Schizosaccharomyces pombe: one gene and its partner. Changing the gene in region 1 together with any one later gene gives a genetic interaction. Each region holds a gene or a part of one and is shown in the gene's direction. Other genes may lie near its edges.

The links.
Region 2: of scp1 (region 1) and sre1, extra expression of one rescues a mutant of the other (dosage rescue), as found in Schizosaccharomyces pombe (2 studies listed by BioGRID).

Annotation. Positions count from the first base shown.
Region 1 is NC_003423.3:4,010,643-4,025,963, reverse strand, and holds scp1 (Sre1 cleavage-activating protein Scap Scp1), read left to right. Parts: upstream 1-11,079; 5' UTR 11,080-11,188; coding exon 11,189-12,117; intron 12,118-12,174; coding exon 12,175-14,506; 3' UTR 14,507-14,816; downstream 14,817-15,321. Other genes in the region: SPOM_SPBC215.01 (GTPase-activating protein), read right to left, coding at 1-1,392; GrpE domain-containing chaperone mge1, read right to left, coding at 2,746-3,417; vma7 (V-type ATPase V1 subunit F), read left to right, coding at 4,342-4,477, 4,536-4,762; Fe-sulfur protein Isa2, read right to left, coding at 4,969-5,140, 5,210-5,655; nucleoporin, WD repeat Nup120, read left to right, coding at 7,197-10,607; mrpl3 (mitochondrial 54S ribosomal protein mL44), read left to right, coding at 15,192-15,321. UniProt on the Schizosaccharomyces pombe protein: Escort protein required for sre1 processing at low sterol as well as oxygen levels.
Region 2 is NC_003423.3:1,687,314-1,705,217, forward strand, and holds sre1 (transcription factor Sre1), read left to right. Parts: upstream 1-4,080; 5' UTR 4,081-4,514; coding exon 4,515-7,217; 3' UTR 7,218-7,378; downstream 7,379-17,904. Other genes in the region: fructose-bisphosphate aldolase Fba1, read left to right, coding at 1,054-2,130; U4/U5/U6 small nuclear ribonucleoprotein complex subunit PRP38, read left to right, coding at 2,835-2,976, 3,175-3,665; SPOM_SPBC19C2.10 (BAR adaptor protein ), read left to right, coding at 7,908-8,495, 8,611-9,528; protein Mdm34, read right to left, coding at 10,422-11,780; mrpl51 (mitochondrial 54S ribosomal protein mL43), read left to right, coding at 12,769-12,834, 12,926-13,088, 13,185-13,393; cytosolic thiouridylase subunit Ctu2, read right to left, coding at 13,560-14,660; Sm snRNP core protein Smd3, read left to right, coding at 14,869-14,905, 14,951-15,010, 15,066-15,195, 15,249-15,315; phosphoprotein phosphatase Phs1, read right to left, coding at 15,723-15,799, 15,852-16,388, 16,439-16,451; palmitoyltransferase Pfa3, read left to right, coding at 17,088-17,315, 17,388-17,904.

The DNA of each region.
Region 1 (15,321 bases):
CGTGATAGAGGCAACGCGTTTATCTGTTGCATCTTTATAAGCCTTATCTCCCAATGATGAAAAATAATTTTTTAAAATTGATATCAACATAGTGTCTTCTGTAGCCTTCATAATTTCAGCTTCGTTGTCATATAGGATAGCCATTCCAATTTGAAACAAAACCCTTGGACCCTCTAGAAAGAAAAAGTCTAACAACCTAAACGCATACGGTAAAGGCATTGTGCAAAGGAAAAGCGACAAAAACCACGGCAAAGAAATGATGCTAAGTTGAATGTCTTTGCTTACAAAATGCGCATGTAAGTTAGGCATTGAGCGTTGAACCAAACTTTCGTAAACTTGTTGATCAATTAGAGTGCCGTACATCGTCTTTGAGTAATAACCCGGAATGTAATCTTCACAAATCTTATGCATCAGAAAAAAGGTTTGTTCCTCGGTGCAATGAATTAAAAGAGCAGCTGCAACAATATTCATTGCCTGACAATAACCAACCTCTTGGTTTTTCCAAGAAAAGGCTACTAAAACATTTCGCAAAGCGTTGATACCTTCTTCATTTTGATAAGCAGGATATTCTGGAAGACTTCTACCTAAATCCTTTTCTATTTCCTCTAAAGAAAAAGATGTTTGACCAGAATACACTTTAAGAAGATGATCATATTCATCTGAATTCTCTAAACGAAAGTACATGGAGCCTGATGTAAGCTCCCATATTTCACCACGAAGTTTATTGGGCAATTCAATTCGGACCAATTTGGAGAAGAGAGAAACTCTGATTAACGAAAGATTTGCACCATAAAGTAAAAAATACTCTTTCCACATTCGTAGCTTTGCCCGTTCTCTAGAGATTCGAGGATCGGTGGGATAACCATATCGAGCACCGAATCCATAAGAATCTTTAGTTTCTGGTTCGGGAACATTGGGTTTGCAAAGGCGTTCAGAAAAGAACTGTTTGCTAAACTCGGAGGACCGCTGCATATCAGCTTTGTGAGATACAAGCTCTTCTCTCAGTAATTGGCAAAAATGTGCAGCAGTGGTTTCAGAAACCTGCAGAGATATTCTGTATTCGTAACCATTGCTTGTCGATACCGACAACAATTGCTCAAGATCATTGCTTTTCACTCGACTAACTTTTCGAATTATAGTATATGGCATACAAAATTGATTAGACTCATCATCACCTTGAAAAGCTATATAATCAGTAAATAAATAAAGCAGACCATTAAATGAATTAGGGTCTTCCAAGTTATTATAGTGGACAAATCGAAGTTGACAGGGCAAACTGTAGAGGGCAAATTGAGATTCAAGAAGTCGAAACTTCCATCGTAATTTGTTTAAGTTTTTTGAGGAATCAGGAAGTTTTAGCTTCGTCTTTATAAGACTGGCTAAAGAAGACATAGCTAGGCTTTTCTTCGAACTCAACAGCTAGTCTTAAAAGCCAATACCTGAAGGTTCTTGAAGCAACTATTTCTTAATATATCAACAGTTATAGAAAAATAAAAAAATGTTCAATTTTAAATCAGAATTTCAAAAGATTCAGTGTCGATAAGACAAAAGTAGATGCAATTTAGCAAATGACCCAATTCTAAATTACTCGATAGATCTCAGGGTGATAGATCCCCTTTTTTTATCTTTCCTGTTATTGAAAACTCTATAGAAGGAAAGAAAGCAAAACGTGTTGCCAAGCAACACTTATTGTGTAAGGGTAAATTTTACACCACGTTCGAGTAGTATGCAAGGCACCATTTCTTGATCTAAATAAAGACGTAAACCCTTGCGGTAGTGTATCGCTAAGAAGTGAGTTTATTTAGTAATAGTGTAATTACTGAGCTGGAAAAAATGAATATATCTCTCGAATATGCAATTCTGACGATATCAGTGCTGGATTAAAAACTATTCATTGACTAGATTCTTAATAAAGTTAAAAGCAACGGGATCACCCACAAACGATCTCATGCTTATCATTTGTAACTTTGAATATCTATCTATTAGATTAGGCTGATTGAGTAATGTCTTATACTATGGCTTAGTTCGAACAGGCTAGCTGCTTCCAATCAATACTTTATTAGCAAGTTTGTTATTACATATCTATTTTATAAAAAACAAAAAAATCATCTAAACTAGTCAAAATTCCTTACTAATTTGTAATACAGAACACTAGCTTAACTTCTACGAATACTTGAAAAGGAGGCTTAACCGTTAAAGCACATATCAACTTTCGGAACTTTAATATTCTATAAAACTAAATGATAGAATACATACCTTCCACTTGGTTCCACTTTTAACTCTTAAAGAAATGCTTTTGAGTAATCTTTAGAAGGAAATATCAAAATTCTTTAACCAGTTTGGGTGAAAGCTATAGTATTAAAGAGTAAAAATTTTATTTATAAATGTAAGTAAAAATAGGTACTATGTTGTGATAGCAAATCACTAAACAATAAACCCAAACCACACAAAAACATTGGATTCAAGTCCCCTCGGTAAAAATATAATAATGTACCCATAGCCCAAAAAATGCAATGAAACTTTTTACGATCTGTCTTTGACTATTAGTTTGCAGAAAAAAGCATCTGCACAGAAAGACTTCTGGTTCCCCTGAAAAGACTGAAAAAATCCAATAATACCACAAAGGACTTTCCAGACAAACATTGAGAGTTTAAAAATAAAAAAAAACCCCGAATTGGTCATTAAAATAATATAGGTGAAACGACGTATTCGTATGCTCCTTGCTATCATCTTTGACTAGCTCCTCTAGTCGTCTCCCTTAACAACACCAACCTTGGCAGGACGAATAACTCTTCCATTCAATTGAAAACCCTTGCTTTCGCAATGGAAGACAGTGTTGGGCTTTTTACCTTCAACAGGGATTTGGAAAACAGCTTCATGGATGTTAGGATCAAAATCTTCTCCGATACCGTCATAGCGAACTAAACCATATTTTCCTAAGGTTTTCATTAAGTTCGATTCAGTCATTGCTAAACCTTCATAAAGATCAACTAAATCCTTGTTGGACTCACGATTGTTACGCTTCTCCTCTGGAACAATTGAAAGAGCACGCTCCAAATTATCGACAGAATCCAAAAGATCCTTAGTAAGCTTTTGAACAGCAAATGCACGTGTTTGCTCCATGTCTCTCTTCATGCGGTTTTCCAAATTACGATAGTCAGCTAAGCTTTGGCGAATGCTACCCTTTAACTCCGCAACCTCTTTGTCCTTTGCTTCATATTTACTTTTAAGCTCAGAAAGCTTAGATTGAAGTTCCTTAACATCAACATTCTCTGTTTCGGCAACTTTTTCTTCAGCAGGCTTTTCTTCCTTAGCAGCCTCAGTTGAGTACCAAAGGAAACTGCGTTTATTAATGGGTGCTCGAATAAGCGTCCGAGGACGTACAGCGGATGAAAATACTCTTCCAAGCCCAAGCATTGTTTCAGTGAGAGCTTTGTGGTAAAAGACAACTGTGTCACACTATAGACAAATGGTGTTGTGAACTTAGCACTGTTAAATTTTACAAATATCAATTTCATCAACTTAAAAATTCGTTATGTTTCGTTAAATGAGGTATGGACTTTGAGATGGAAGCTGATTCAAAAAATATATAAATGACACTTTTTTCTCAAATTAAAGCTTCTATTTCGATATGTAACAAATTGATTGTAGGTTTGAACATGCATGTAGGAAAGCAACCCAAATTTCGAATTTGCTCAACACTGGAAGCCAACAACGGCTCATATGCTTATCAATTATTAATTTATTCTTTTCAGCTTCATTCTCAACAGATAATAATTAACTGATTTCTCATCTATATTTATATCCTTCTTGGTATGCTTTACGGCATTGGATTATATCGAAGTACTTACTTCGCAGCCTTTGAAAGTAAAATAATTGAATATTATAATTTAAGTTTTAAAATAATCCTATTTGTGTCATCTGGGCCATCTTATTATTTTTACATTCATCAGTTTATTTGCATAATGATATTTGTTGAACAATTTATGGGAGTCGAATTTTCACAAATTCCTATTATAATAATATCATATTCTTAATTACAGAAGTCTTCATAATAAAAGGTACCTTAGTTAAGTGTCAGATATGTCTTATCGGTATTGGACCTTACACTTTCATCCACCATCACTACTTAAACTCAGGAATACATTTGAGGATTGTAGAGGCAGAGCCATAGCTTTCTGTTAAATATTTATCTAAGCTTTGTGAAAATTTACGATTCAACCACTGAACACTTTTAATCGCCTACTAGTCCAGAAGTTGCGCTTTCAAGTAGCACCATACTCTCCTATTTTCCTGCTTGGACGTTTACCTAGATTTTCTAAATACTTATCTCTCTAAATCATGTCTTCACAATCATATCGAGAACGGACACTTGTTTCTGTAATTGGAGACGATGATACCGTTACTGGGATGCTTTTAGCTGGAACTGGTCAGGTAAATGAAAACGGTGACAAAAACTTTTTTATAATTACTCAGAGTAAGATTATCTGTTAAAAAATGGAATCGTGTTTTCGCTAACTTGCTGTTTTATGTAGAGACTACAGATGAGCAGATTGCTGAAGCTTTTGATGATTATACTACGAAAAGGAAGGATATTGCGATTGTATTGATTAACCAGTTTGCCGCTGAAAGAATACGTGATCGTATTGAAAACCATGTGCAGGCATTCCCTGCTGTATTGGAAATTCCTAGCAAAGACGATCCTTATGATCCTGAAAAGGACAGTATCCTCCGTCGTGTTAGAAAGATCATTGGAGAATAGACTATTAATATTTAATTATATTTTTTGAGCAATAATTTCAATTAGTCAACAACTCGATCGATTTGACTGATGACACTTTTATATTTGTATCTTTTGGTTTACTTACTGGCATACTAGCAAAAAATTGTAAGCAGAGTTTTTGTTAAACTATATTTGATAAATAGAAAAGTGATTATAAGAGAAATGTATTATTTTAAGTATAAATCTCATTCAACATCAAAACTGACATTACAACCACAAGAAGTCTTGGCACGTGGATTGTTTAAAAGTTGAAAAGAGGAACCAATAAGTTCATTTGTATACTCAATTTCAGAGCCACTTATCAAAGGTAATGAAATGTTGTCAGCAACAACCCTGGCTTTTCCACGCACAAATACCCTAGATATTTAGTCAATAACCAGGAAATACTTAATTAAAACTTATAGTCTTCTTAACCACATCACTTACGTGTCAGCATTTCCAATTTTGTTGTCCATGCGAAAAGATACTTGATATCCATGGCATCCACCACCATCGACAGTGACGCGCAAAACAGAGTTTTCTTCTGGTTTCCTTTCTGCAATTTTTTCTAACTGTTTTTTCGCTGAATCTTTCACGTATAAAATAAAAGGGATTCCCTTCTCGTCACATTGCTCTTGAAGCGTGAATTGGTCGTTCGCAAGCTTTGAGCTATAAAATCGATTTTTGATTTTGAATTCATTATTTATTTTGGGAAATATTTCTTTCGTTAATGTATTCGATTTCGCATCAATTCTACATGATCGAGAATTTCTAAGCGATCCATGCGATAGCTGTCGAATTGCGATCACAGGATTTAAGAGTGTTTGAAAACAACGTTCTCGAAAGAAAAATGGTCCTTTAAACAATAAGTTTACTCGCGATTTCATAAGCATCACTGCAAAGTATTATAGCCACAAGTTAGGACTTTCTAACTTGTAAACATACAGTAACGTAATAGAAGTCAAATTGCCTACGCTCTGTTTCGTTAATTCAGTATATTCCAAATTGGTGCTTATGTTTATGAGATAGAGAAGTTAAGTACATAAATGAAATAGTCATAACTTGACGAGTGTGTCATAGACTAAAGTCAAATTCAGGGATTTACCTATTAGTTAACACCCAATCTCTAAGAGATTTATATCGGATAGATTGAATTCGAACTTACAAAACTCTCACACCCATAGCTAGTAGAGAATAAGGGGAATTTATCAAATATATCTAGAATTATTTAATGTTCTTTTTTACTTATGTTGTATGCTACTAAATTTTGTGATGATTTATAGTCAAAATTAATATCTTTGGATTATTTTTACCTTTTGGTACTCCTACTCCTTTAATTCTCTTTCAGTTTTAAATGAATAGATTTTTAGCTATTAGAGATAATTTCAACCCATTTGGTTAATTCTTCTTCTGGATATTTATTGTCGATCCTTTAATTCTAGCATAGACCGGTGGATCACATCCAGAAAATGTCTTTATCACAATTGATGCCATTGCTACAATCTTCTACTTTAGCTAATTCTTTATCGTGATACCAGTGTATGTACTACCGCTTAATTACTATAAAGTTGCGGGTGTTCGTACAAGCACATATCACCGCAATTGTAATATTGAATCAGGTATAAGAGATCTTGGCTATTAGACTTAGAATTGGTTGTATCTGCAATAAAAAAAATAAATTATAAATTGCATGCCAATGAACAATAATTCACCCTTGCACGTAATTAATATTTATTAAAATGTAATTTACAATTTAACGTATGGTTGAAAATATTACATGTTTTATTTACTAAGAATTTGCAAAATTTAAAAATAAACAAAACTAGAAAATTAGAAAACTATTTTATTAAAAAAGATTGAAAGGCTGTAAATTAAGACCCTAAAGATGAGTACTGTTAATTTAAATAGATTTAATCTCTTAAAACAACAGCTAAAAAGTTACAGGTATACAAAAAATAATAAAAAAAACTAACAATAATCTAAGAAAGGCTTCTGATATCTTGAAGATCTTTTACTGTTGTATGTAATTTCACAAATAAAATAGAGAATCCATTTAAGCTCTTGAGTTTTAAATGAATATTTGATTCCTTTTTTATTATTATGAATACAAAGGAATTGCTCGATTAATAAAAACTATCAAATTGTTTAGCTTTCTTCATCCACAATCAAATGATTCTATTTTATTAAGGAACTTAATCTTCAAGAAGAAAATTCAGTTTTACATTCCATCTCCCTCTACCCTAAAAAGCTAAAGAATTACAAATATACTCGTATTTACGCGTTTCTCATAAATTCGTTGTAGGACTGGCCTGTCTTACGCTAACTCGTGTAGGTCGTTGTCTACGATACTCAACCAGAACTGCCCCCTATTGTTAGCTATTTGTTTGGTATTTCTACTGGTATTACCGCTACCAGTAAAAAATAAAATCAAAATATGAATGAATTAAAGCATGCGGTAGTTCCGATAGACTTACAATCTTTTTGTCTGGAAGGAACTTTGGCGTTGTGGGTTCCAGCTCTCGAAAACGACTCGGAAGACGATTCTGAAGCTATAGAAACAGCTGATGATAATGAAAAACTTTTTAAAAAGGAATGTGTAGCATATGATGCAGGTGTTTATACCTCAAATAAAAGCAAAGGTTCACAAACTTTACGATGGAGTATATTCCAAAACAGAACACTCACTATCTTTGATGTTTCATTAAATTCTAAGAAGGAGCCTTTATCAAAATTTAATGTGAAAATTCATTTTCCATCCAACGTAATGAAGGACGGTGTAGCTTTCTCGTTCAGTGAGCATTCCGACACGACCATTATATATGCTATTACTCACGCTCGCGTTTTGTATTATATTAGATTATCTAAAACTTGGTTCCAATTACCGGACGCTCGCTTAGACGACGATTGGTGTCTTTGTTACCGACCAATATCCTTTCTGAATCAAAAACCCGATTTAATGGCCGCAATTAGCACGTCTGAAATTTGTGTAAGCTTTTTCAATGGAGGTTTAACAAAGATTATATTAAATCCAAAAGACGCTAGTCACTACGAACAGCATATTGATGATTCTAGTTATTTGTTTTCCCTAAAAAAATATCTATCACTTCAGGCATTTAAGGCAGATTACCGCTCTCCTAATACTATTATTTCAATGATTTTTTTGTCTACCTATAATGTTCTTGTGATGCTATCGCTTGACTATAAGTTAAAAGTTTTGGATTTGTCTACTAATCAATGCGTCGAAACCATTGAACTGTCACAGACTATACTTCCTCTACAATCCTTTCCTTATTTAACTTCAGATCACACCACTAATTCTTTCATCGCTCTGTATTACCCAGATAATTCTCATGGCTCTTTTTCAATTTACAAACTTAACGCAAACGCCCACTCTTTTAAATTAAATGTTGTCATCGAGAAGGGCATAATTCCTCCTTCTTTACCAGACGATGAGTTCATACCATGGATGCTTTCTGATTTTCAACTGATATCGTCAGAGGGCTCTCAATCTAAATTTTTGCTCATTATTGCTTGGAAAAGCAACTTAAATACCGTTATCCAAAAATGCAACCTTAGTCTAGATCAGGACGAGAGTTTTTCATGCGTTTGGAGTCACTCTTTGGATAGCTTTTCCCTCATAGAAAAAACCTTTTTTGACGTTCCAACAAACATGTCGTCTGGGGATATCTCAGAGATTTGGCTACAACACATTTTTGCACATAATACATCTATTGAGTCTATACAAGTTGCTCTTTTAAGCTTTCAAAACAGCTCCTCGCAAGTTTCAAAAAATAAACTGGATAAATTTGGCGCACTTACTATAAGTGAACTTAAAAATGCCGTTTTGTCGTCTATAGTTTCAACGATCCAAATAGAGCCAAATTCAGATTTAACTGGATACGATTATTATGAATATAAGCGGCTATTATATAATGAATGGGAAAGGTTTGCGAAACTTGTTGCATATCTGGATCATTTTGGAGATGAAATATTAAGTATTAACTTCGATCCTTCGAACGCTGTTACATATATCAATTATGCAAATAAAGTGGCTTTTATTAGGGATCCTTATCTCATTGAATCCTTTGACGAAGAGCCGTTGACCAAATTAATTAGTTCCCTTGAAACAGATGATCCTTCTCTAATTGAAGGTTATCAAATTCTGGATCTTGGTAGGAGTTTACATTCCTGTATGTCATTTTCTACTTTATCTGAAATTAGATACTCATTACGAGAACTAGTCCAGGATTTGCCATCTTATTCTTTATTTGATACATTGTGGGTATTTTATGACAAGCACATATATCCCAACGTCGATCCAGATTATATCAGTACTTTAATTGATACTCTAGTTTCTCTTGAAAACCCGATGCGCGACATTGATTCTCTTATCCAACGCTTAAGAAGTTTCGATATTTACAACCATTCCGCTCAATCCCCTTCCTTATTTTTGTGTGCATCGGTAGCACGGGTTTTGGACAGTATTTTGAAAAAGTTTCAAGTCTCTATTGAAGGATTTATTTTTCTACTTTCTTTGATAACTAGCCAGCAGGATTATGAGTTACAATCCAAATTTGCAGGATGTGATAAATTATTTCTTTCTTTACTAGAAGATTGGCGTCTTGTGAGTTTTCTTTTAGAGAATTCTGCACTTTTGCTAGAAAAATTTGAGGAGGAGGATGTTGATTCAACAAACTGTAATTTAAATACTATGGAAGCTTTAGCAAGTGTTAACACAGCCCTTCAGTTTTTTTCCGCTTTGAATTATTCCGAATGTTTCTCAGAAAGCCAAATTTCACCTTTACATGCTACCGTGATATCGTCTTTGTCGGCAATCTTTATAAGGGACGATACGGAAAATGATCTGGTCACTGAACTTGTAGAAAAGTTGTTTCTATTCAAACAATATAATGCATGTATGCAATTAATAGGGTGGCTTAACTCTGACCCAATTGCAGTCTACTTGAAAGCACTTATTTATCTCAAATCGAAAGAAGCTGTTAAGGCTGTCCGATGTTTCAAGACTACTTCTCTAGTCCTTTACTCACATACTTCTCAATTCGCAGTTTTACGGGAGTTTCAAGAAATTGCTGAAAAATACCACCATCAGAACCTATTATCGTGTTATTACCTTCATCTATCAAAAAAGCTGTTCGAGGAGAGTGCATATATAGATGCATTAGAATTTTCTTTATTAGCAGATGCCTCGAAAGAGACTGACGACGAAGATTTGTCTATTGCAATTACCCATGAGACTTTAAAAACCGCTTGTGCAGCAGGAAAGTTTGACGCTGCTCACGTTGCATTGATGGTTTTATCCACTACGCCTTTGAAAAAGTCATGTTTACTAGACTTTGTAAATCAATTAACGAAACAAGGTAAAATAAATCAGCTTCTAAATTATTCAATGCCAACGTTAAGACAGGACGTCGACAATTTGCTTGAGCGAAAGGCCTTTCAAATGATTAACGTTGAATCACAACCATGCTGGTATAATATTTTGTTTAGTTGGCGGTATAAACATCAAAACTATCGAGACGCAGCAGCAATTATTTATGAAAAACTGAGCCGGTATATCTCTACTACAGAATTAATTGGAAAAAAGGAGAGAACTTTTATAATAGAACATTATTTGATTGTTTTGAACACTCTGGAGTTGCTTCCGAAAGAAGATACATGGATTCTTGTGACAGACATGTCCGTGGACAAGGAACCTGACCCTAACTTTCTTCCACAAAAATTACTTACTCTAGATGCAATTGTAGCAGAATATCACTTACAGTTGAAGGATGTCGCTGTTCAAGTTACAGCTGAAATGTCATCGGCCATGAATATCGATTTATAAAGGCAACAAAGAATTATTTACGCAGCTTAACCTTCTCATTTAGAAAAATCCAGAAAAAAAGCAATATGCTTGGCAGAGTTTTAGTAATTAAATCATCTTTAGTTTCATTGAGGCGATGGGTAGCCATAAATAACTAACTTCTTTCTATAAAATTAAATTCTGAATATAAATATACTTTCGATAGCATTGGTATTTACATATCTTTAACGAATTATAATTCCGACCTTTTTGCTGCAGCTTGCCGCAGTTTGCTAATTAGTGTTGTCCGTTGGGAAATATTGTTGAGATACGGCTAGTATCGGCAGAATGTTGGAACCAACAATAATTATATATTTGAATTTTTATTTCCTTATTTTATAACATTTTTTTGAAACTTTTGGTTTCAGATTAAATAATTCTCTATTAATAATAGTGTACGGAAATTGCACGCCGTGTGCCCGAATTTAAATTTGTCGGGTCCCGAAGGAATGTACAAAACACCAAGACCTGCGAAAACTGATTCTCAGTGAATTGGGTATATCGGTCTTGTAAAGATCTAATTAATGAACGTTTACCAATGTTATTGAACTGAAAATATCGTTATGAGGATTTTTACTCTTGGAAAAGGCCGAATTTCACGAGGGTATGCTCGGCAAGTTAACCCTTCATTATTTGCCAAGTACAGCTACTGTATTGCCAATAATCCTTGGTATTTCATTCTTGTGTTTACTCTTTTATCAATCACAGGTATATATTCGTCGTTGGTAGCGTATCAGCAATCCCTTTACGATCAATCATTAGCTAGATGGTCGGCTTGGTATGCCGAGAGCATCAATGCTGAAGCAAATGTTATTACGAAACAACTCTATCTTTTAGGAACGAACACATCAGTGTTTTCCGAAGACTATCTTTCAAACGCGTATCGTTGGGAAACAAGCTTCCATCAATATTTGGCGGAATACGGGTATCCTTGCATAAGAGATGAAAAATCCTGTGTAACTATTTCTCCAATACCAAAATATTATGGTAAGGTTGATCCTGTAGCTCAATATTCATATACTAAAGGGCTTCCTGAAAATGAGCGTGAAGTGAACAAGCTTAGGAATGATACAATAGCCGAAGGTTTTGACTCGCTTAGTGCTTTTGTGATTACTTACTTTTTAAAGCCTGAACAAGTCGATACTTTTCATGTTGTTTTAAAGAAATTTATTTCCGAAACTCCTAATCTATATGCAAGTTTACTTGATACATCCCCTACCACTGTCGTAGCACGTATTCCTGACCTTACTGTTATTTACAGATGGTACCTATGGGTTGGGTTTGGAGTCGGACTTTTTGCATATTTGTATTTGTCACTTGTGCGGTTGCATGATATTCGTGCTAAATTTGGTCTTACAGCGACTATATTTATTCAAAGCGGTACTGCCTACTTCTCTACCTGTTCTTTGCTGTATTTCTTTGAAAGAACGGGCCCCATATGTCCATGGCCTATGGCTTACTATATTATCATATTTATGGACATTGAAAACTCGTAAGTTTTTTTGCTATACTTCGTCATTATGTGAACGTTTTATTACTAACTTATCAGATTTCGACTTTTACGCGCAGTAATCGCTTCTCCTCAGACGAAGCGTGTTCCTTCTCGTATAATGGAAGGGTTTTCTAGTACTATTATTGCCTCCTTTTCATCCTTACTTAAGAAGTTATTGACTCTTTTTGTCTTGAGCTTCTTTGTTTATCCTCTGGTGCAGGAGTTTTGTTTGTTTCTTGCCTGTTCTTTCGTCGTTAGTTTTTTACTGCATGGAAGTTTTTTTCTAGCGGTCCTAAGTGTCGATATACGTCGTTTGGAGTTGCAAGATTTTTTAGATTCAAACTCTTCTAATCGAAACTCAAAATGGTGGGTTCCGTATCTAGAATACGTAAGATTCATGTGGTCTCCATGGATTATCGATAATCTTGGTACTGTTTCATTTCATATGTACGTTATTTATTTACAACTCCAATCCAGTACAGATATCAATGGGTCTTGGAGATTAGCATCTCCTAACATTCGCTTTCTCATTACGTTATATCATCGTTTAGGCCGTATTTTACGAGAACGAAAGTTATTTCCACTGATTACGACCGGTTGGTTTGGTGACCCCACTTTTTTAGAAGCATTAAAAGAGAAGACGATGGCGGAAAACCTTGTTATTGCTTTGTATCGACCAGTTATTCTTGACACTGTTAACCGTCGTGATTACACTAATGTCTACAACTCGTTTCATGACCGGAGAGTATGGAGATGGTCAACATTTTTCAGCATACTGTTCGCAATTGATTTTGCGGTTGGGTTGCTTGTTAAAGCACTTTTGCGAGGCTGGTCTGACCATGACGAGCTTTCAACCGATACAACATTACATGAGGAAAAATTCAGAATAGAACCCGTTCCTGTTCATCATCAGCTTGACATTTTAAAAATTGCTGTATCTGAAAACTATAAGACGTTTGCCTCCGTCGGGTTAGATAGGTGTCTTGTAGTTTGGGATTTACGTCAATGGTGTACAAAGCTTGTACTTTCAAAAGAACAAATGCCCAGGACGTTAAAAGCAATAGCTTTAGATCCTCAGGGAAACTACGTTTCGTTGTTCTCAAAGGATACTTTATTCATTCTGAATGTAGAATCTCCTTGCTTGATGCTTCAACATTCCTATCACTGTAAGCCAAATAGCAAATTAAACGTGTTCTGGATGCCGGGTACGCATAAAGATGATGAATGGAAAAACTTTGAGCTAGTGGTTGTTGAAAGCTCAGGCGAAATTCAGGTTTTTAGTCTGACTATTGAAATTGAAGGTGCAGATATAGCTTTGGTTGAAAAGTTTCAATTAAGTTCTCCGATTATTAAATCAATAAGTATCGTTTCACCCACGGCTAATAGAATTGCTTGTTTGACTGAATCCGGTGAAGTGACTGTATATTCTAAAAAAGGACCCGTCTGGTCCCCAAAGATTTTATCTCAAAACAAAAATTATCTAACAGAAACAAAAAAAGATATTTATGGAATTGCAATGGCGGACATTTTGTTTCTTGCTCGAGATAGTGGTGTCGACATGATTGACCTTAAAAACGATGAACTATTACATTCCTTTACACTGCCGCCGATAAAAGTAAACACTTTTTCAGTTGGCGTGAGTAACAGTCGATTTGTTAATGGACAGTTTAGAGTGTCATCAATATCGTTTTGTTTTACTCACGCTGTTACCGAAAAGGTTCTTTATTATTACTACGGTAATGAATGTAATGAGTCTTATATTATATTGAATAAATGGGATCAACAGCCAAATCTTGTGGACGTACACGATCCTGATAATTCGCTGGCTTGCTTGACCTTTGATGAACTACAAGAAAATATCCATGAAGTCGAAGATGCTAGTGAATGTGTAATGAGCTCAGATGGACTCTACATATTTGGCATGCGAAGAAAAAGTTCATCGGGGATTTGTCCAACAGCAGATGAGAAAAACGAAGATAATGGTTTTACTCTTCGTAACCGAAAGTTGCGAACTGGCCATTACAATTGGACGTCTTATGTACCCCTTCTAGATTCTTATATGCAAGACATGGAACACAAAAAAAATACGCATAGTGGTGGTGAAACCCAGGTATGGGAAGTTTGGATGTACTCTCAATCTGAAAAGAAGCACCGCTGCAAATCTTTAAAGATGTATAATTCTTTAATTATTGCAGACCCTGGACCTTCTCTTGCAGTCTCTGATAGATGCGTAGCCATTGTTCTAGGTAATTACGTTGCACTAGTCGGCTATGGAAGTGAAATCTTTCGTGATTTTTACCAAATCAGAAATTCCGATGAGATGGACAGAATTTTACGTCGCAAAAGAAAAAATTTACAGAGAAAAAGATCGGGGACCATCGGATGTTAAAATTAGTACTTCTTGTTTATTAGCCCTATGTTGATGTGCATATATATATGTATATATAGCTGCGATACCGTTTGCTAGCATGTCATGGTTGTCGGGATTGTTATAAGACCACTTTAGGGCTTATCATTCGTTCTTGAATAAGAAATATGTGCTTCCATTGTGTTTTAACTATTTAATATCTACCCAATTATTTTGTTAGCATTTGCAAGCCGGCCTTGCTAATGTCACGAGACACTTAACGTTTGTGGGAAGTTGCTGATTCTGTTAGTATTTTTAATAATTTATGAAATGTTTTTTTTTTCGTTCATAACTATTCTAACATGTGGATTAAAATTAAAGATGTTGTTTATAATTATTTTTTTTTTTATATTGTAAATTAGGAAGACAACAACACTAATTTTAATGTTCAGAAGTTTATGGTTTGTATCCATGAGGTTCATGCAACTAAACTAGGATGGATTTACTAAAAAATTTGTATTTGTTTTGTTTATAGTAGATTTTTCTTAATAAACTAATCCCAATGTTAAAGACAATTAGCCAAAATTCGTTTTGAATTTCTGGAACGCGTACCCACTTCTTAAAAGTTATCTTCCGCCTATTTTACCTCAACCTGTTTAATAACCACCTTAACGACTATTGTATGCTGCATACATACAGTTTATAATTAATTGTAACTAAAAATACCATGTCGTTTATAAGCAGATCAACAACGACCTTTCGGAGGAGCATATCTATGAAAGACTATGCGAGGGTTCGGTGGTACAGTAACAGCGGCAAATCGTTGATCGAAAATATTCTTTCATCCAAAATTGCAA
Region 2 (17,904 bases), 2.3 Mb from region 1:
TGGACTAATATTACTCGTGGCCAAGCGAAACACAAGTGGTACTAGATAACCAAAAAATGATAAAGCATTCAATCAATCAAACCACTTACGAAATTCATACTCCCGTAAACGAATGCCGGTCGGACGCATGGAAAATCATCAATACGTGAGAGAGCTACTTAGTTGTGCACTTTGTATATGTCCAAAAATACTTTTCATTTCACATACCTGCTTGTGTAAAGACAGTGATGAAATGCGGTGCAAAGTGTCTATTCTTACATTGATGGTAAAGCTAATTCAAGCATGCTTGGAAGAAGAATTGCCTTGCATTTCTTGATCATTTGACCCAGGCGACAACTATAAAATAAGAATACTACCGAAGATGCAGATGGGGTGTGTGGGCACAACACCATCGAACCGAACCGAGACGGCCAGACTGTGATAACAAAAGAAATGCATTAGTTTAGTTGGCTGGTTCAAGTTGGTTGAGTAGAAAAATCCATCACTCAAACTGGGAAGTAGGGATGGCTGGGAGAATGGAGAAGCGAGACGAGACGAGACAAGACAAGAGGAGATGAAATGAAATTAATGAAAAGAAATGAATAGAAATGAAATAGACATATGAATAGTATAGGGCAGGTTAGATGTTTGTATTTATAAATGTTTAATGCTTAGGTTTGTATTTATGTTTACGTTGGTAATGTTTCTTTTGTTTGTGTTTGTGCATCGGGTGAACGAGTTGGTTACCGCCGCCGCCGCTTCCTTTTGCCTTGACACACACCACGCAACGTGTTACGGTTCTTGAACGGAATTGCGTACTTCGATGCAGAGCGCTATCGGGGGGATTGGGGATGGTAAATGGAAGAAATCAAAAACTTCTTTTGACGTCAACCCCTAAAACAGGGGACGGTGATTGGTGGTAACCACGGACCGGATAGGTATCGATATGCACATCAGGTGAGAAGTTTTTCCGAGGCCAACTCCGGCTCCATGGTATATAATAGAGGGTTGCGCGCTACTGTTGCAGTATCATACTTCCAAAGGTCGTATAGAACACACACACAAATTAGCAAAATGGGAATTCTCGATATTGTACCTACTGGTGTTATTACAGGTGACAACGTTTTAAAGTTGTTCACCTACGCTCGTGAGCACGGATTCGCCATCCCTGCCATTAACGTCACCTCCTCCTCCACTGCTATTGCTGCTCTTGAGGCTGCTCGTGAGGCTCGTTCCCCCATCATCTTGCAAACCTCCAACGGTGGTGCTCACTTCTTTGCTGGTAAGGAATCCTCCAACGAGGGCCAAAAGGCCTCCATTGCCGGTTCCATCGCCGCTGCCCACTACATCCGTTCCATCGCTCCTTTCTTCGGTGTCCCCGTCGTCATGCACTCTGACCACTGCGCCAAGAAGCTTCTCCCCTGGATGGACGGTATGTTCGAAGCCGATGAGGCCTACTTCAAGATTCACGGTGAGCCTCTTTTCTCTTCTCACATGCTTGACTTGTCCGAGGAGCCCAAGAAGGAGAACATTGCTCAAGTTAAGGAGTACTGCAAGCGTGCCGTTCCCATGAAGATCTGGATCGAGATGGAGATCGGTATCACTGGTGGTGAGGAAGACGGTGTCGACAACTCTCACGTCTCCCACACCGAGCTCTACACTCAACCCGAGGACATCTGGGATGTCTACCGTGAGCTCTCCTCCGTTACCCCTTACTTCTCCATTGCCGCCGCTTTCGGTAACGTCCACGGTGTCTACAAGCCCGGTAACGTCAAGCTCCAACCCGCTCTTTTGGGTCAACACCAAGCCTATGTTAAGGAGCAACTCAAGACCACCAACGACAAGCCCGTTTTCTTCGTCTTCCACGGTGGTTCCGGTTCCTCTGTCAACGAGTTCCGTACTGGTATCAAGTGCGGTGTCGTCAAGGTCAACATTGACACTGATACCCAATTCGCCTACGTCGAGGGTGTCCGTGACTATGTCTTGAAGTACAAGGACTACCTTATGACCCCCGTCGGTAACCCCGAGGGAGCTGACAAGCCCAACAAGAAGAAGTTCGACCCTCGTGTCTGGATCCATGAGGGTGAGAAGACCATGACCAAGCGTGTTCTTACCGCTCTTGAGGACTTCTACACTGTCAACACTCTCTAAATTTGTGGTTTTTGAAAGATGGAAATGATTGAATAGACGGTGGGCTTCATTAAAATTATATTTTTTTGTCCCCTTAATGAGAGTTCATACTGTTTTGAAATTACGTGTTTGAATATAGAGACATTGTTTTTTAAAATTACCATTGTAAAAGCATAAGAGATATTTGAAGTAAAGTAGGGCAAAGTAAGTTAAGAAATTTTTTTGGATTGGATTTGTAAAGTGTTTTTCAAGCATACTGTATATTGTTAAGATTTTTCTTTTTATCCTTTTATTCATCTTCCTTAATTGGTTAATGTGTTCTTAGGTATATAAATTTACAAAAAAAAAATTTCCGATTCCACATGACAATGAATGAATAAATAATATGTCCGTGCGTTTATTTGAATTTAATATATATCGTTTGGCAAATCTCGATGAGTAGCTTAAAACAACATAATCGCTTGAATTTCATGTGCTTTGTGTACACAGTGTGCATTGTTTAGTAGATCAACTTTTTCTTCTTTCATTGCAATGAGTACGGGCATTTTCCCTTTTCCTCCATATTTCACGAATCCATGTTTTTTTTAGATAACCCTTTCTCAATCAAAACTCAGCATGCTTCTTCAGACTTGACCACTTATATTGTCAGTACACTACTGCTCCTTAAAAGCTTACTCCAAGTCAAGACATCAAGGTTGGAGCAATCATTCTCTTCATGAGGTACTATGGCTGATTTTCTTGCTAGAGATTATCGCTCTCAAGGTGAGGCGGCGCATGAAATGCTGCCGACTTTCCTTATAGGAAAAATCTTGAGAGAACGCATAGTAGATTCTATTTACTGGAAAGAACAATGTTTTGGATTGAATGGTATGTGTTCTTCATTGACAGAAAAGGAAAGTGTTTTTACATATTAGAGTTCAAGTACGATTACTTTCCAAATCGATATTTTGAGTGATATAGCCTAAATGAACTTGATTTGGCAAGCAAAGAAACCAAGTATAGGTACTTGCTGTTTTAATCAGTCCTCAAACTGTTATTCCAAATTCACTGACTAATACATCTTAGCTTGTTCATTGGTGGATCGTGCAGTACGGCTTGAATATATAGGTGGTCAGTATGGAAATCAACGGCCCACCGAGTTTATCTGTTTGTTATACAAGCTTTTACAAATTGCACCTGAAAAAGAAATAATTCAACAGTACCTATCTATTCCTGAATTCAAGTATTTACGTGCCCTGGCTGCATTTTACGTTCGGCTTACATGGGATGATGTGGAAGTGCATCAAACGTTGGAACCGCTGTTAAGAGATTATCGGAAATTAAGAATTCGTACTAATTCTGAGATCCGATTAACATATCTGGATGAGGTTGTTGATGATTTGCTAAATGCCGAAGTAGTTTGCGATATTTCCCTGCCCCCATTGCGAAGTCGACTCCAACTTGAAGATTTGGACTTGCTTGAACCACTTTCATCTTCTTCAGACGAAGAAGATGATGATGAAGAACAAATTAGTAAATTGGAGAGCAATGAAGGTGCTGTAGATCGGAATATTTAAGGATAAGTAATATACAAAAAAAGAGTAAAGCGAAGCACGCATTTTGTGATGCGTCTACGATTTAACTTGGAATGACTCTACAAGGAAAAGTTATGGATTGAAATGGTTTTACACTTGAACTTATTAAAAAACAATTTATGAATAACAAACATCTAATCAAATAGATTTGTATATTAATATATATCGATTTCACATATTATCGCAAATACGCTATTTTTTCTTGTAAACAAATTTCGATAGACTTAGTTTACAGCACACTAAATATTTATAAAATGTCTTTGATACGCCACGGAATTTTTTTCACACCATACTTTAACGAATCACCCCATTCCGTCTATTTTCTTACGTTTCGTTAAAAACATGTCAGTCCACTTCTTTTTTGCTCACATATGAATTAACACGACTTTTCTCTTTCATCCATTACCATACTCGAGCAATCCTAACTTTGCTTATCGGGTGATCGATTTTAAATTTTTTTACTTATAGGACGTCCAGTAGCCTTTATAAGTTCATTGACAACAATTGGGTTGTTGCTGAGAGTTTGTTTACTGCGCTCGACTCTTGCTATAACCTAATCTTAAACGATTATCAAGCTGGATTTCCTTCTTGCTAAGAACATTATTTTATTTTACAACTCATTCAAGAAATTATTTTGCTATCTATCGCCTTGGATAGCTTTTAATGCGTCAAATTTTGGATAATTTGTAGCTCGATTAGAAAATTCGCTCAACATCCTATACAGTCACAGAGATAAAAAACCCTAAGAGTTAAATTCAATTTCTCTTTATTGTTGGATTTTTTAACTCGCTGTTAAATTCCGCTTGGTTCTAGCTGGAAATTTTGTTAAATATGCAAAGCTCAATTCCGTCAGTTTCCGTGTCGGTCGCTTCTCCTGCAATGGAAACTCCAACAAAAGCTTCGCCTGACAGCAAATCACCCAATTCAGTGGGTGCGATTCCTTCTTCATCCCCTTTGGCTTCATCGACAAAGGCTTCAACTTCTACTCCCTTTGTGGAGAATTGTTCCAATCTGTTGTGTGATTTGGCTAGCATTGTCGAGGACTCACCTCCAACCTTGACCAACACCTCGTTGTCTCCCCATTCGTTTTCCCTTTCTGATATGGAGTCATCAATGAGCAATTGGCTTAACCCTTTTGCGTTCGACAATACGATGAACTCGGCGCCTCCTCTGTTTACTTCGACCAACATGGGCTCCCCTAACTCGTTAGAAAACTCTACAAATCCTCTTCTCTCTAATTGCGGCTCTCCAAATTCATTTCAGAATGAGACCTTTACCGGCCCATCATTGAATGAGTTCGATGCCGATGATAAAATTCAGCGCCAAATGAAAATCCTTCACTCTGTTGATACAATCGATCCATCGACTGTTCAAAATTATCCTTCAGCTGATATGTCAAATCCAGAAGTCAAATTGAAAACCGAAGAAATTATTACACCCATGGACACCACTTGCAAGCCTGAACCTTCTGCCAAGAAAATAAAGTTGTCTCCTTCCTCGGAAGATTCTTGCTCAATTCCTGAAACATTACCTTTTTCGGCCCCCAAGTCTAGAGGCTCATTATCTCCTTCTGAAACCCCAGATTTTGTAGCCGGTCCTGGAGGAAAACCAAAGAAGACAGCTCATAACATGATTGAGAAGAGATACAGAACCAACTTGAACGACCGAATTTGTGAATTGCGTGATGCAGTTCCTTCACTTCGTGCTGCTGCTGCACTTCGTTGTGGTAATTCTCTGGACGATGAGGATTTGGGGGGTTTGACACCCGCTCGTAAGCTTAACAAGGGTACAATATTGGCAAAAGCAACTGAGTATATCAGACATTTGGAGGCCAAGAATAAGGAACTACAGAAGACTAACAAGCAGCTTTCAGATAGGCTGGCTTTCTACGAAGATCCTTCGATGGCTCCTCCTTCTAACGATACTCGAGCCGTTAACTCTGTTAATGTTGTTTCCTCATCTGACTATTCTGTTCACCAATCTTCTCGACCAAACCTAACCCAAAGAGCTTTTACTTCCCCAACCCTAAATACCATGGGCCGCACAGCACTAAATGGCATGGTTGGACTTGGTCTATTCAATTATTTTGGAAACGATTCTTCTCAATCTGTTTATGGTTTATTCGCTCTTCCACCTTTTCTTATGTCTCCATTCACAGGTACTGTTCTCTTTAACATGCTGAAAATTGGTGTTGTTTTACTCGGTTTATTCTATCTTTTGCACGATAACTCTCTTTTCAAAGGCTTCAAGGGTGAAAAGAAATCTAAAGTTAGTACCAGATCTTCCATGTCACCATCCTCAATCTTATTCCGAAAAACCGTATTCGAAAAGTATTGTTTATTGGACCATTCTACTTCGACTATTTCTCTATTTTTTGGATTACTGATCTTCACTCTTAAATCTGCTTATGGCTATTTGACTCATCGTTTGAGTGCTCTTTATACCTCCTCTGAGAATTGGGTTTATAGTGAGCAACAACTTGCTGAAGTTCGCAACATGGAAAAGCTTTTGGATGCCCAATTAATGGGTGGTGATGCTAAAGTTGACCGTTTGAGGCTCTTAATGGTATTTGCCAGTTCATTTTCTCTTCCTCCTTCAAGTCATACTTGTGCTTTACAAGCAATGTATTGCCAACTAATTTTTTCCAACACCTCTGTCCCATCCGCTATCGTTTCGAAGTGCGTTGCTTTCTTCTGGAATGCTGCAAAGAAACAACATAGCAAAAGTTCTGTACACGCGGAGTTACGTGAGCTTCCTGAGTGTACTGCTAACCTAATTGAAAACTCCCACGCTGACGACGTTTTCTCTCCGAATATGGTTGAGCGATTGTGGGTTCTAGCAAAGTGCACCCGTGACTCTGCTCAAATGTCAGATAGTATTATTAGCTCCTTATCTGATGTTTTGGTTTTATCTCCTCTAGAGGTGCTTGCCTCATGGTATGCCGCTGATTTGTTGGATGCCCTTTTGATGGAAAGTTTGAGCCGTAAAGTTGAGATATCCGAGATTGAGGAAATTATTTCCCTTTGTCCTAAGAACTCCTCTATTATTCGTCATGCTTTACTAGCTAAATTGGTTTTGTTCCCCGAGAATACAGCTGATTCTTTGAATGAAGTCCTTGCAGCATACAAGAACACTTTGGATTTATGCAGCCAAGATAAACGCAAGCAGTCAAGCGTGTTAAAGATCAACTTATCCAAGCTATTCACACTCCACTCATGCCTATCATTAGCACTCCAACGCCTTGGATACGGGGATGTTTCTAAACGTATGTATCAGGAAATCTTTGTACCTGATAGTGATGCAGACATTACACCTTTATCTTTTATTATTTCCTGGACCGCTTTGAACACTTTTGCTCCTATTTGCACATCTCCAAAGGAAAACGATGTCGTTGAAAAGATGGCCATGTACGTGCGGACGGCCATCGGAACTTTGAAAATTCAAGATTTGAAATTATCTCGTAAGTTAATCAACTCTTGCATAGATATTGGATCTCGCTTACAAGAAGATTTGGGTTATGTTTCATCAGCTTAAATTGTCGATTCTCGAGCTTTGAGAACAGTTAGTATACAACGCTCATCTATTGCAACTACCTTATTATTTTCCATGATTGTTATTTCATCAGTTATTTTGCGTATCATTTTTTAGTTTTAATTATTCTTTTAATAAATTACAGTTGTCGTCGGTAAGAGCAGTGATAAAAATATGCAATTAGAGTTATTTTGTTGTATCAAGCTAGCACAATTCACCATTTGAGTATATTTGGTGATTAAATAAAATGAATAGAGTACAATTTGAGGCATGCTAAGGTTCATCGAACTAACTATTTTTTTAAATAATGACACATTGGCAAGATTAAAAAATTGGATTCTTCTCTTGCAGTTAACTCTCTGCTGTTGATGAAGATGTGTTGAATCTTAGACTGCTGATATCCATTTTATACCAATTGTATAAAAAAAAGAATGTCAATTATTAATAAAATGGAAATGCATAAGATAGATAAGAGTGGTCTGAAGTTTTACGGTACAGTACGTAGTTCCGTCCTTACTGAAATCTCGGGAGTAATACGAACCATTCACCAAAGGTAAACAAACTACCAAATTGTTTTTATGTATTATTTACTACTATATTGGTTAACTTATTCTGAATCCTACAACCTAAAATAAAAATAAATAGACTCGCTTTTATTATTTGTCGATTCAAGAACTTAGCTCTCCTTTGAAGATGAACAAACATTTTGCAAAGCTTTCACAATGGACCGGTGAAAAATTTGGTTTTGATCGTCAGAAGACTACATTATCTGATGATTTTTGTTCCTTGAAAGGTGAAACGGATGCCTGGCTTGTGGGAATGGATAAAATTCATAGAAGTTGCACAAGATGGGTACGGAATATGGATAAACGAAAGGGCCTGCTCGACGAGAAAGATAAGCAATTACCTGTTACTCACGTTGGATCGTCTTTTGTAGAGTTAGGGCAAGCATTATCGCATTCTTCAAGCAATTCGCACACTTATATCATGTACGGAAAAAGCATGGTTGAAATAGGGCACCTACAGGAGGAGTTTATGGATTATTTGAACAATTCTTTTTTGGCAAATCTAGAAAATTCTTTAGCCGAGTTTAAGGCTTTAGATGTGAAGGAAAAGAAGATGGAAAATCGACGACTTGTCTTTGACGCGCTTTCTACAAAAATACAGAAGGCCAAAAAAGAAGAGTCAAAGCTTGAAGAAGATTTACGGAATGCTCGCGCAAAATACGAGGAGTCTCTGGAAGAGTTTGAAGACAGAATGGTTCAATTGAAAGAATTAGAGGTAAGTATTATCGTCCTAATGACATTCGTTACCAATTTGATGCCATAATTAAACGATTATTAGGCCTGCCTAACTTATCTTATATGACTCAATATTTTTGTTAACTAATTTTTAGCCTGATCGTGTCGAAAACGTTGTACGACTCCTACAGATGCAAATACGATTTCATCAAAAAAGTCTCGATTTGTTAAAGGGACTTGAGATGAACGGATTTTCCAAGAAGAGGGATAACGTTAATATTCCAAAGCGTACTTATTCCGCAAGATCTATTCCATCGAATATTTCTTCAACAAATGTTGCAACAACGCCCTCGAATACCATTTTTGAAATGGATGATACTTTAAAGGCCGATAGTTCTTCAAATGAATATCATTCTCCCACCAATACACTCCCTTCTTACCATACAGAAGCTGACCTGGACAATTCTTCCATAGCTTCTTCAAATAGAACACAGCATACTGAAGATAATTATAACAAGGATGTTTCGGATGCTCAAAATTCATTGGGGCAGTCTGCTGTAGATTTAACAACTCCCTCATCACCTCCAATCCCCCGTCATACCAAACCCAAACTGTCTACGACTCAAAGTACCCCAGTCAAACCGGCATCGTTACAAAGTGAGGAGGATATCCAGTTAAGTTTTAAACAACCGGAATTATCTGCTTCGTCGGCAGAATTGGATGAAAAGTTGAAGTCTCAGTGTAATGTATCCCCTTCACCTTCCAACATTTCTGATGCTCCCCCGAGCAAGCTTAATCGTAGTTATTCATCTCCACTTGCTTCCATTTCATCCAGAAAGGTAGTACGAATGAAATATTCATTTGAGCCAGAAACAGAAAATGAGTTAAAACTAAAAAAGGGAGATCTTCTTTTAGTTTTAAAAGAAATTGATGAAGGTTGGTGGGTTGGGGAGAAACTGGGTGAAGATGGGGTTTTTACTGGAAATACCGGAATGTTTCCTTCAAATTATTGTGTTCCAGCCCATCCATGGGACAAAACATTTCGGGCATTTTTGAAAAAGGGCTTTAAGTAGTCCCATTTATTCCGAGTACTATTGCTGCTACTTTCCGTCCAATTTTAATGGCTGTTGTGTCTACAATCATTCTTTTTTATTTCATTTTAAATGATTTTTTGAAGCTCCTTTCTTTTGCATTATTTCATTTTTTTAGCATAATACCGACTGATTTTTATGCATCACGTTACCCGGTACTCTTCATTTTTTATTTCGACTGTCGATATACTTGTCTGTATGACATTAAAATTGAGTGATCTTAACCTTAAAAGTTAGTTTAAACAGACTTGTTAATCATGTTAGCACCTATGCTTTAATATAATTAAGATTTATCTCGAACTTTTGTTTCCGTAAATTTCATACTTTTAAATAAGATGGAAAGAGTATGAACAGTATTATTTTAAAAGTGGATATAAAAATGTATTCATGAATATCATAATGTCAAAGATATCCTTTAATCTTTTAAGTTTTCTTTGTTATATATTGATTACAGGTAAATTTGAAGATTACATCTTAAATATGGAAATTTTCTAGTAACCGTTTTAAACGGGATAATGAGATTTAACTTACATCTCAGGACTTTTCTAGTTGAGCATTTAAATGCTTATTTAATTATTAAAAAAAAATTCCAACGCCTCAAATTATGGTAATCGTGATTATTTCATTAAAATGGAGAACATAAAATTAACACCAAGATATCCAGGTAAGAAAAAAGCATACTAATGTTTTAAATAAAAAGGGTAACAACTGACACGGAAAAGGAAATAACACCAAATGTTGAGGAGTAAAAAGAAATTCAGAGAACTAACCCTATCGTTAAAAAAAAAAATTATTTTCACTGAATAAACCATGAGATATGCTTGAAGAGTAGCAGGTTAACAAAAAAAAAGAGAAAGTTATTCACAGAAATTAACTTAAAAAGAACCTTTGGCAGCCATGAGACGTTGCAACATTAGCAACTTAAAGGCACTGTACTGAAGGCCAGATACTTTTCCGTTATCAACCTCGGACGGAATCTTTTGCTGCAGGTTTTCCAACCAGTTGTTAGTGATGGTATAATTCCTTTTAAGTTTATTAATGTTGGTAATAATCTTTGTAGGAGTATCAGGTATGGAATCAAACGCAGATTCAGTAAGGTCAACGTTTTTAGAACCAACAAAAGTTTCGGAAGAGGAAGCAGACTTGTTTGATGCTTCATGAATTTTAATTACATGTCTTTTCTTGACACGTTCTCGGCGGCGGAATTGTGAGGTACCATGACTACGACCAAAAATGGATGGCCTAGCCGTGGTGTCATTTGAACCAAGATAGTCTGATGCGGAATATTGGGTTGCAGGGGAAGATACAGCAGAAATATCATCAGATTGAGTAGTCAATTGCTGTATAATCGTATCGGGAGGAGTTGACCGGTATATGGACATAGGTATTGAAGGAGAAGAAATAGGAAGTAGTGCTTTTCTGGATAAGGCTAAAGAAGCAATAGATCGAATGTTAGGATGCGTTTGGACATCCAATGGGCCCATTTTAATTGGGAGATGAGTGTCGACTTTCGTAGATTCATGATAGTCGGGAGGACCATCTAGCAAATCTGGGTTATAATTAGCCAGAGAAGTATGAGATTGGTTAGGAGAAGTGAAAGGAATTTTTTGAAAAGATAGATTAGAGTCGGACTTGGCAAACCAAATTCTTGACATTTTGTATATGATGGAAGGAAGTTCTTCCTGAAACAGGGAGACCAGTTGCACCTCGATTTCTCTTTGTAAAAAGCGAGCAATAGCAGGAATAGAATCAAAGGAGGAAGATACACGCACGGATTCTAAAGGATCGTTTCGAAATACCACAGTGATACCTTTCTGCTTTGAAAACACCAAAACAACTATTCCGTTAAGCTTTAAGTCGGAAAGTCGTAAAAACATAGGCACAGTAAGCGGTGCACGAGATGCTAACATTGTATTACGAGAACTAAAACTGGGAACATTACTTTTTTGCACCGATAATGGATTGGCACGAATTTTTGTTTGCAAGACCAAAGAAGCATCACCCGAATAATGGAGATTAAAGAGGCCCTGAAAGCGGTCTGGCGCTAAGTCGCCAACCTCTAAAATTTCCAGTTGAGGAGGTTGGGGACCCAAATCCAACTCTTTTACAGTGATGTGGTCTGCAATCATCGAGTGTTTAGTGCCTTTGTTTAAAGCAGCCGTAAGCAAAGTGGTTGCTCGCTCATAGAATGACTCAGAGAACTGATCACTCCATCCCTTTACACGAAACGACATTCTGTTGATTTTCCTAAGTTATCTACATCAACTATGAAAAATGTCAAATTTTTTTGTAAGGAACCGTCTAGTATAGACTAAGTAACTAACGCTTTAGATCAATTTCTTTACAAAATTTTTATTAAATTCGGATAGGGAAACGACAACTTCCATACAGTGGCGGACAGTAAATAAACATCGATAGGCTGGCTGATGCACTAGTGCGGCATACTGAACCTTGATATAGCCAAGATAAGGATAGGGTCGATCGTACTGTATATGAACGAAGGTGTATTAGAATGCATTAAATAAATTATTACAAAATGCACAGTAGTTTCTTATGCTATACTGGTGAAATATATTTTCTTGCTATTCTGTTCATTTAGGAGGGATAAATAAAGCTTCATGAAATGAAATTCCTTAGATATTCAAATCAGAAATTCAGCCATTATTTTAGAAATGATATTAGTGGTGTTGCTTACTGTATTAATTTGCTATGTTGACAAATATCTAGGCTGAAGAACTTCGAGTACAAGAACCGATACAACTTTGCTCTTTCAGAAAAGGATATCTCTGCATAAATGAATGATATTAAATCAAAATTGTTCGTTTTAAAAAACCTATATTATGTTTGTTCGCAGTCCATGTACTACGTTAAAAAATCACTGTAAACTTTCTAGATATCATTATTTAGAGAAGAGCAGAAAGGTAAAGTATTGCAAAGTGTGTAACCAGAAACTGTAGGTAGACAGTAAACTTGATTTTGTTGCTAAAATTTTTTATAAAACTAATTGCATACTAAGTTTAACATTCTAAATCAATTGGAACAAGTATTGAAGTTTAGAGCAATTTGGGATTTGCGAATTTCCACACACCCCTTTACGTCTCCATACCGACTTTTCATTATTTCTGCAAGGATTTGCTCACCCAACTTTTTTCAATATAGCATATTAAGAATTCTGGTTTTTAAAAGACGGTATCCCCTTTTTTACGGCCTTTTACTCACTTAATGATGATTGAAATCATTCCTAAAATTTCAATTCCCAAAAATGGACTAGGTTCATTTACCCGCCCAGTAAGATTTAATCAGCTTTCTTTTTTTTTAAAAAAAAAAAAAAAAAAAAGATTGGCCTTCATTAACTTCGTATTACTAATTTTCTTTTTAGTGCCGTCGAATTGAGTTTTCGTATTGTAATTGGGGTGGAAGCTCAAAAGGCATGAAAGAATTTTTATCCACAAAGCTTGAGTCTTTGGCCAAAGAATCTCAAGATGTGGAATTTCATGTTACAAACCGCCAAGGCAAGCATCCATTAATCCGAGCTTATTACAGTACGTCCAAGACTTTTCTCTTATTATGGTGATCCTCTTAGTTTTATAAATATGAACTCCTTAAAATAGTGTTTTTTACTAATGCTACGATAATAGATACTGGTCGAGAGAAGGTCATTTGTACAAGGAAAATGTCAGCGTCTTCAATATTTCAAAAAGCAATTCTATGCAGAGATAGTGATGGTTTGAAACCTCGCCTCATAAAATATCCTGTTGAGTCAACAAACCCATCCGTTCGTGGTATTTGGAGTCCATTTTCCGATCAAGCAAAGCCCCATGAAATTTATAAGAAAAAGTCCCCTTAGATTCCTCTACAAACTACTTATTATTTCATACAAAAAAAAGAAAATTCAATTTAATCATTTTCGTTATGTTATTATGTCTAACCTTTTTGTCCGAAATACAAAACCCTATCCAAATTTATCTTCCCATAAATACTCTAGTTAACCAGGTAGTAAGTGTACAGATGTATCAAATCCCTTCTTTTTCAATATCAGGAATATGCAACGTCCCTTTTAAGCTTTTTAAAGAAACAGAACAGCCATAGCAAACATTTTGATTCTTAATACCTTCAACGGAATCCGGATGTTCAACCGTAGTTTTTTGTAACCAAGTCTCAGCATCTTCTTGCATTGGTAGATTACAGATGGTACATATGGCTTCTGTAGAAGGCACATGCAATTTTGAGCTCATTTTGACAACGGTGCTAACCAGACTTGGGAATGTATCATTCAGCGATGAGAAATATGATTCTGTAACGCCATGAATAGTATTAGGACGTGCTTCAATTAAGCTATCGCAGAAAGCTAATCCCTTAATGTTCATATACGACTTGAGGTCTGAAGACAAAACTTCACGTAGGGGACGTAGTAGGAAAGTATCGCAATTTGGAAGCTTAGAGCAGACAGAAGTGTACCATGGTATCGCAAAACCTCGACCCTCTGCCACAAGTTCAAGAACTCTTGCAGCAATTGTAGTACCGCTATCACCAAAAACAATGGTATCACAATTTGCCTTCCGGGCATAGGATACTAAAAGCTTATCCCGAATTCGGTAAAGTAAATCTTGACGCGAGGCTAACGAACTAATGACTTCTGGATTAAATTTCTCATTATCTGCGTTTATTTCTATATTTCCTCGTGAGTCTGTAGCAATGGTACGGTTCAATAACTCAGCTTCACCAATAACTTTGAATGGACATTTAGGATAATTTTTGGAAATACTTTCCTCAATCGTTTTTGCAACAGCTGAATCCGTTCCCCACTGAAAATGAACTGCAAGCAATTCATCAAACATAGGCCGGTAATTATCATCTCGATATTTTGATAAATAATTGGCTGTTTCAAGCATTGCCATTGAAGATATACCACCGGAAATAGCCAGCATTGCTCTTTTAGATTTGCGTCCTTGTAAATTGGGTCGTACAAGCTCAAATTGCCGACGAATTTTGTTCTCAATTCTTCTGACAAAGCATGAATCGCAGACCGCATCTGATTTAGTCAGAACTGTTGCCTTATTATCGCATTTGGAACATTTTGAGTCGGCTGAATTGTCTAGAGCCGTGTTCTGCATTTTTTTAGATTTTTCTATTGTTTTTCGAAATGAAGGTCCACAAAGTACTTTCAAAAAAATTATCCGTATAAATAAATAAGTTTAAGAGATACCTATTCTTCTTTCAATTCCAATTTTATGGAAAAAGAATAGTTGGTGGTGCGCAAACCAACTAAACACTGGAATTTTTCATAGTGCCAGCTACTCACACAGTACACCACCATCGACCATGTCTCTGTGTATTAAGTTGCTTCATGAGACCCAAGGTACGATTTTTTACCCAATTTTTTTTTAGTAAAACTAATTTTTAGGCCATATCGTTACGATGGAGTTGGAAAATGGGTCTACGTATCGTGGAAAGTTAATTGAAGGTATATTCATTTTAAAACGATTTCTATTTTGTTATGGTTTACTTACACTAATTAGCGGAAGATAATATGAATTGTCAAATGAGAGATATCAGTGTAACTGCTCGAGATGGTCGTGTTTCTCATTTGGATCAAGTTTACATTCGTGGTTCACACATTCGTTTTCTCATCGTTCCTGATATGCTTAGGTAAGAATTTTTAAGTGGTTGGTTTAATCATAATTTTAACGTTTTTAAACAAGGAATGCTCCTATGTTCAAAGTTGGCCCTGGCAGAAGTGTTCCTTTACCTACACGTGGACGACGATAAAAGAACCGTATGAAAAAGGATAATAGATTTGGTGATTTAAGTAATGAAAAATTCATTTCTACTGTTGCTTTAAAGTTGAAAAACGTAATGATTTTTTAAATATTCAATAAATTAATGGACGCACGTGTTTCTACATTGCATTGTAAGTAGTAAGAGATATTGTGAATAAGCTCTTTTTACATCTTTTCGAAGTACGTTTATGTAGCTGCTGTTTATCGGAGTGATACCTTCGACTTATCTATAGTGACAAATGCTATTACCACTATTTTGTGTTGTTAAAATACATATTTACAACATAAATCTTTATATGCTATACGAATGCAAAAGTTAAGTAAAAAATTGAATAATATGTAATATCCGATACTACAGAATAATAAACCTAACTTATTTTAGCTTAGAAAAAAAAATTAGGTTCTTCTGGCAGCAGCCCGCTTGGAAATCTTTCGACGTTGAGCAAGCATATGTGTATACATAATGTAAAGACCTAGAAAGTTAATAAAGATTTTGGAAGAAAAGCTGGGTTTCACTCAACTTACCAGGTGGATAAATAGACATCAAGATGGGCCAAAGCAGCTTGTTCAAACTCCAGACGTACTGAGCAGCAATCCTACTTTTCAATACTAAAAGAAATTCACTTCCAGCACCGATGGGATAGAGGATTAGGAAGGTATTATAGCGAAGCCATGTTAAGAAAGCAGGGATGTCGCCGTTCAGGTTGAATGCATAAAATGCATAACGAATTATTTCGGTAATGGACCAAGCGATGATCATACTTAAGTATATAGGAGATCCCTCAATAACATATGAAAATGGATAGCACACACCCCAAACAAGGTAAAGTCGAGATGCAACTTGAATGATTGTTGTTAAAGGAGAAGAAGATACTAGTCCAAATATACTGTGGAATACTTCAGCTATTGCCAGAGTTTGTACCCAGCGAACTAAAGTATTTGTTTCATGAAAAACTACGGCTGTATCTTTGGTTATTCCCCATATCAATCCTGTACGAAGCAAAACGCTCATCCAAAGAAAGCAGGAGATAACATTGTATAGTTTTAAATATTGTATTTTTACTATTTTTAACTTTGTTAATAACTGAGATCTATAAAAAATCGAGTCTTACAAATTTTCGACATTTTTGTTGGGATTGTAGTTGGAACAATACGATTTTCAAACGTTTCACTACGCGGCCTCACTTGTATGAGACCATTGTTGGCCAATATTGTTTGTTGCGTTCTGGGGGATGGATAAATTCTTTCTATCAAAAGAATGTATACAAACACTTTACAAACAACTTTTAAAATTCGGATTTGGCTAACATCGTTATGTATTAATGAAAATATCAAATTCGCACAGAATCATAAATTGATCAAAAATAATATCAATCAGATTATTAAAAAATTAAGGTAAATTACATATTCTATAACTAATTGGGTTATCTGACTCGATTGATGATACGTGTCTTTATTTACATTATCAAGTCAAAAAAAATTTACAAACCCCGGGTATTAAATTAGTAATCTGAACCAGTTTAAAATTAGAAATTTATAATTATTTGAAAACATTTTTCTGCTATATGTAATTTGTTTAAAGTACTATGTGCTAGTCATTTCGTAAGAAGAAAGCCTGCTGTTACGGATGACTAACATCCTAGCCACAGCCAAACACTCCTTTCATCGAAAAAAAATTGCAATCACATGTAAGAGGTTTATTAAGGGACAATCTGATTATTATAATAATTATTGATAATTTTGATAGAAGTTATAAAAACTATGAATCTGATTCATAAAGTATCAACTATATGTCAATGTGTCTTGGTAATTCTTGCAAAGTATTGTATGCAAATAATTGCGCTTTCGTTGATGAGTGGTGTTCAATGGCTTGCTTGGGGAATTTACAAAATCAATAAAAATCGTGTAGGGATCATCATTTTGTTTTTGTACATTATGATCGTAACATGTTATGTCCTTACTAATCTTACACCACCAGGCTCTCCATCGGTACGTCAATTTCCTTTAGTATAAATATTATGTGAGTATTATTAAAACAGGAAACTAACTCTTCTGTTTCAGGAGACCTCGTTTGATCCGAATTCTACTAGGCAATATATGACATTACAGAATGGAAAATCTCGATTTTGCGAAAAATGTCAAGAATACAAATGCGATCGATCTCATCATTGCTCGCAATGTAATAAGTGCATTCTTCGAATGGACCATCATTGCATGTGGTTTAAAAATTGTGTTGGATTCCGTAACCACAAGTTTTTCTTCCTGGAGTGCTTCTACTTAAATCTCTACTCCATCTGCGTTCTTTATTCAACTTTTGTTGCCATCACCAAAACTTTCACAGCCGAAGGAGCGAATATTAGTGCTATTTATTTAGTGTTCTGGGGCTTTCTGTTTGCTTTTGCTGTTGGAATGAGCATTGTTATGACTGCCTTTACTTTTTATCATACATCATTGCTCATTCATAATTTAAGCACTTTGGAATCCATGAGCTCTTCATGGAGTCGATATACGCATTCCACTCAACCGTTCAATGTCGGCTGGTACGAAAATTGGTGCCAGATTATGGGGAAATCCCCAT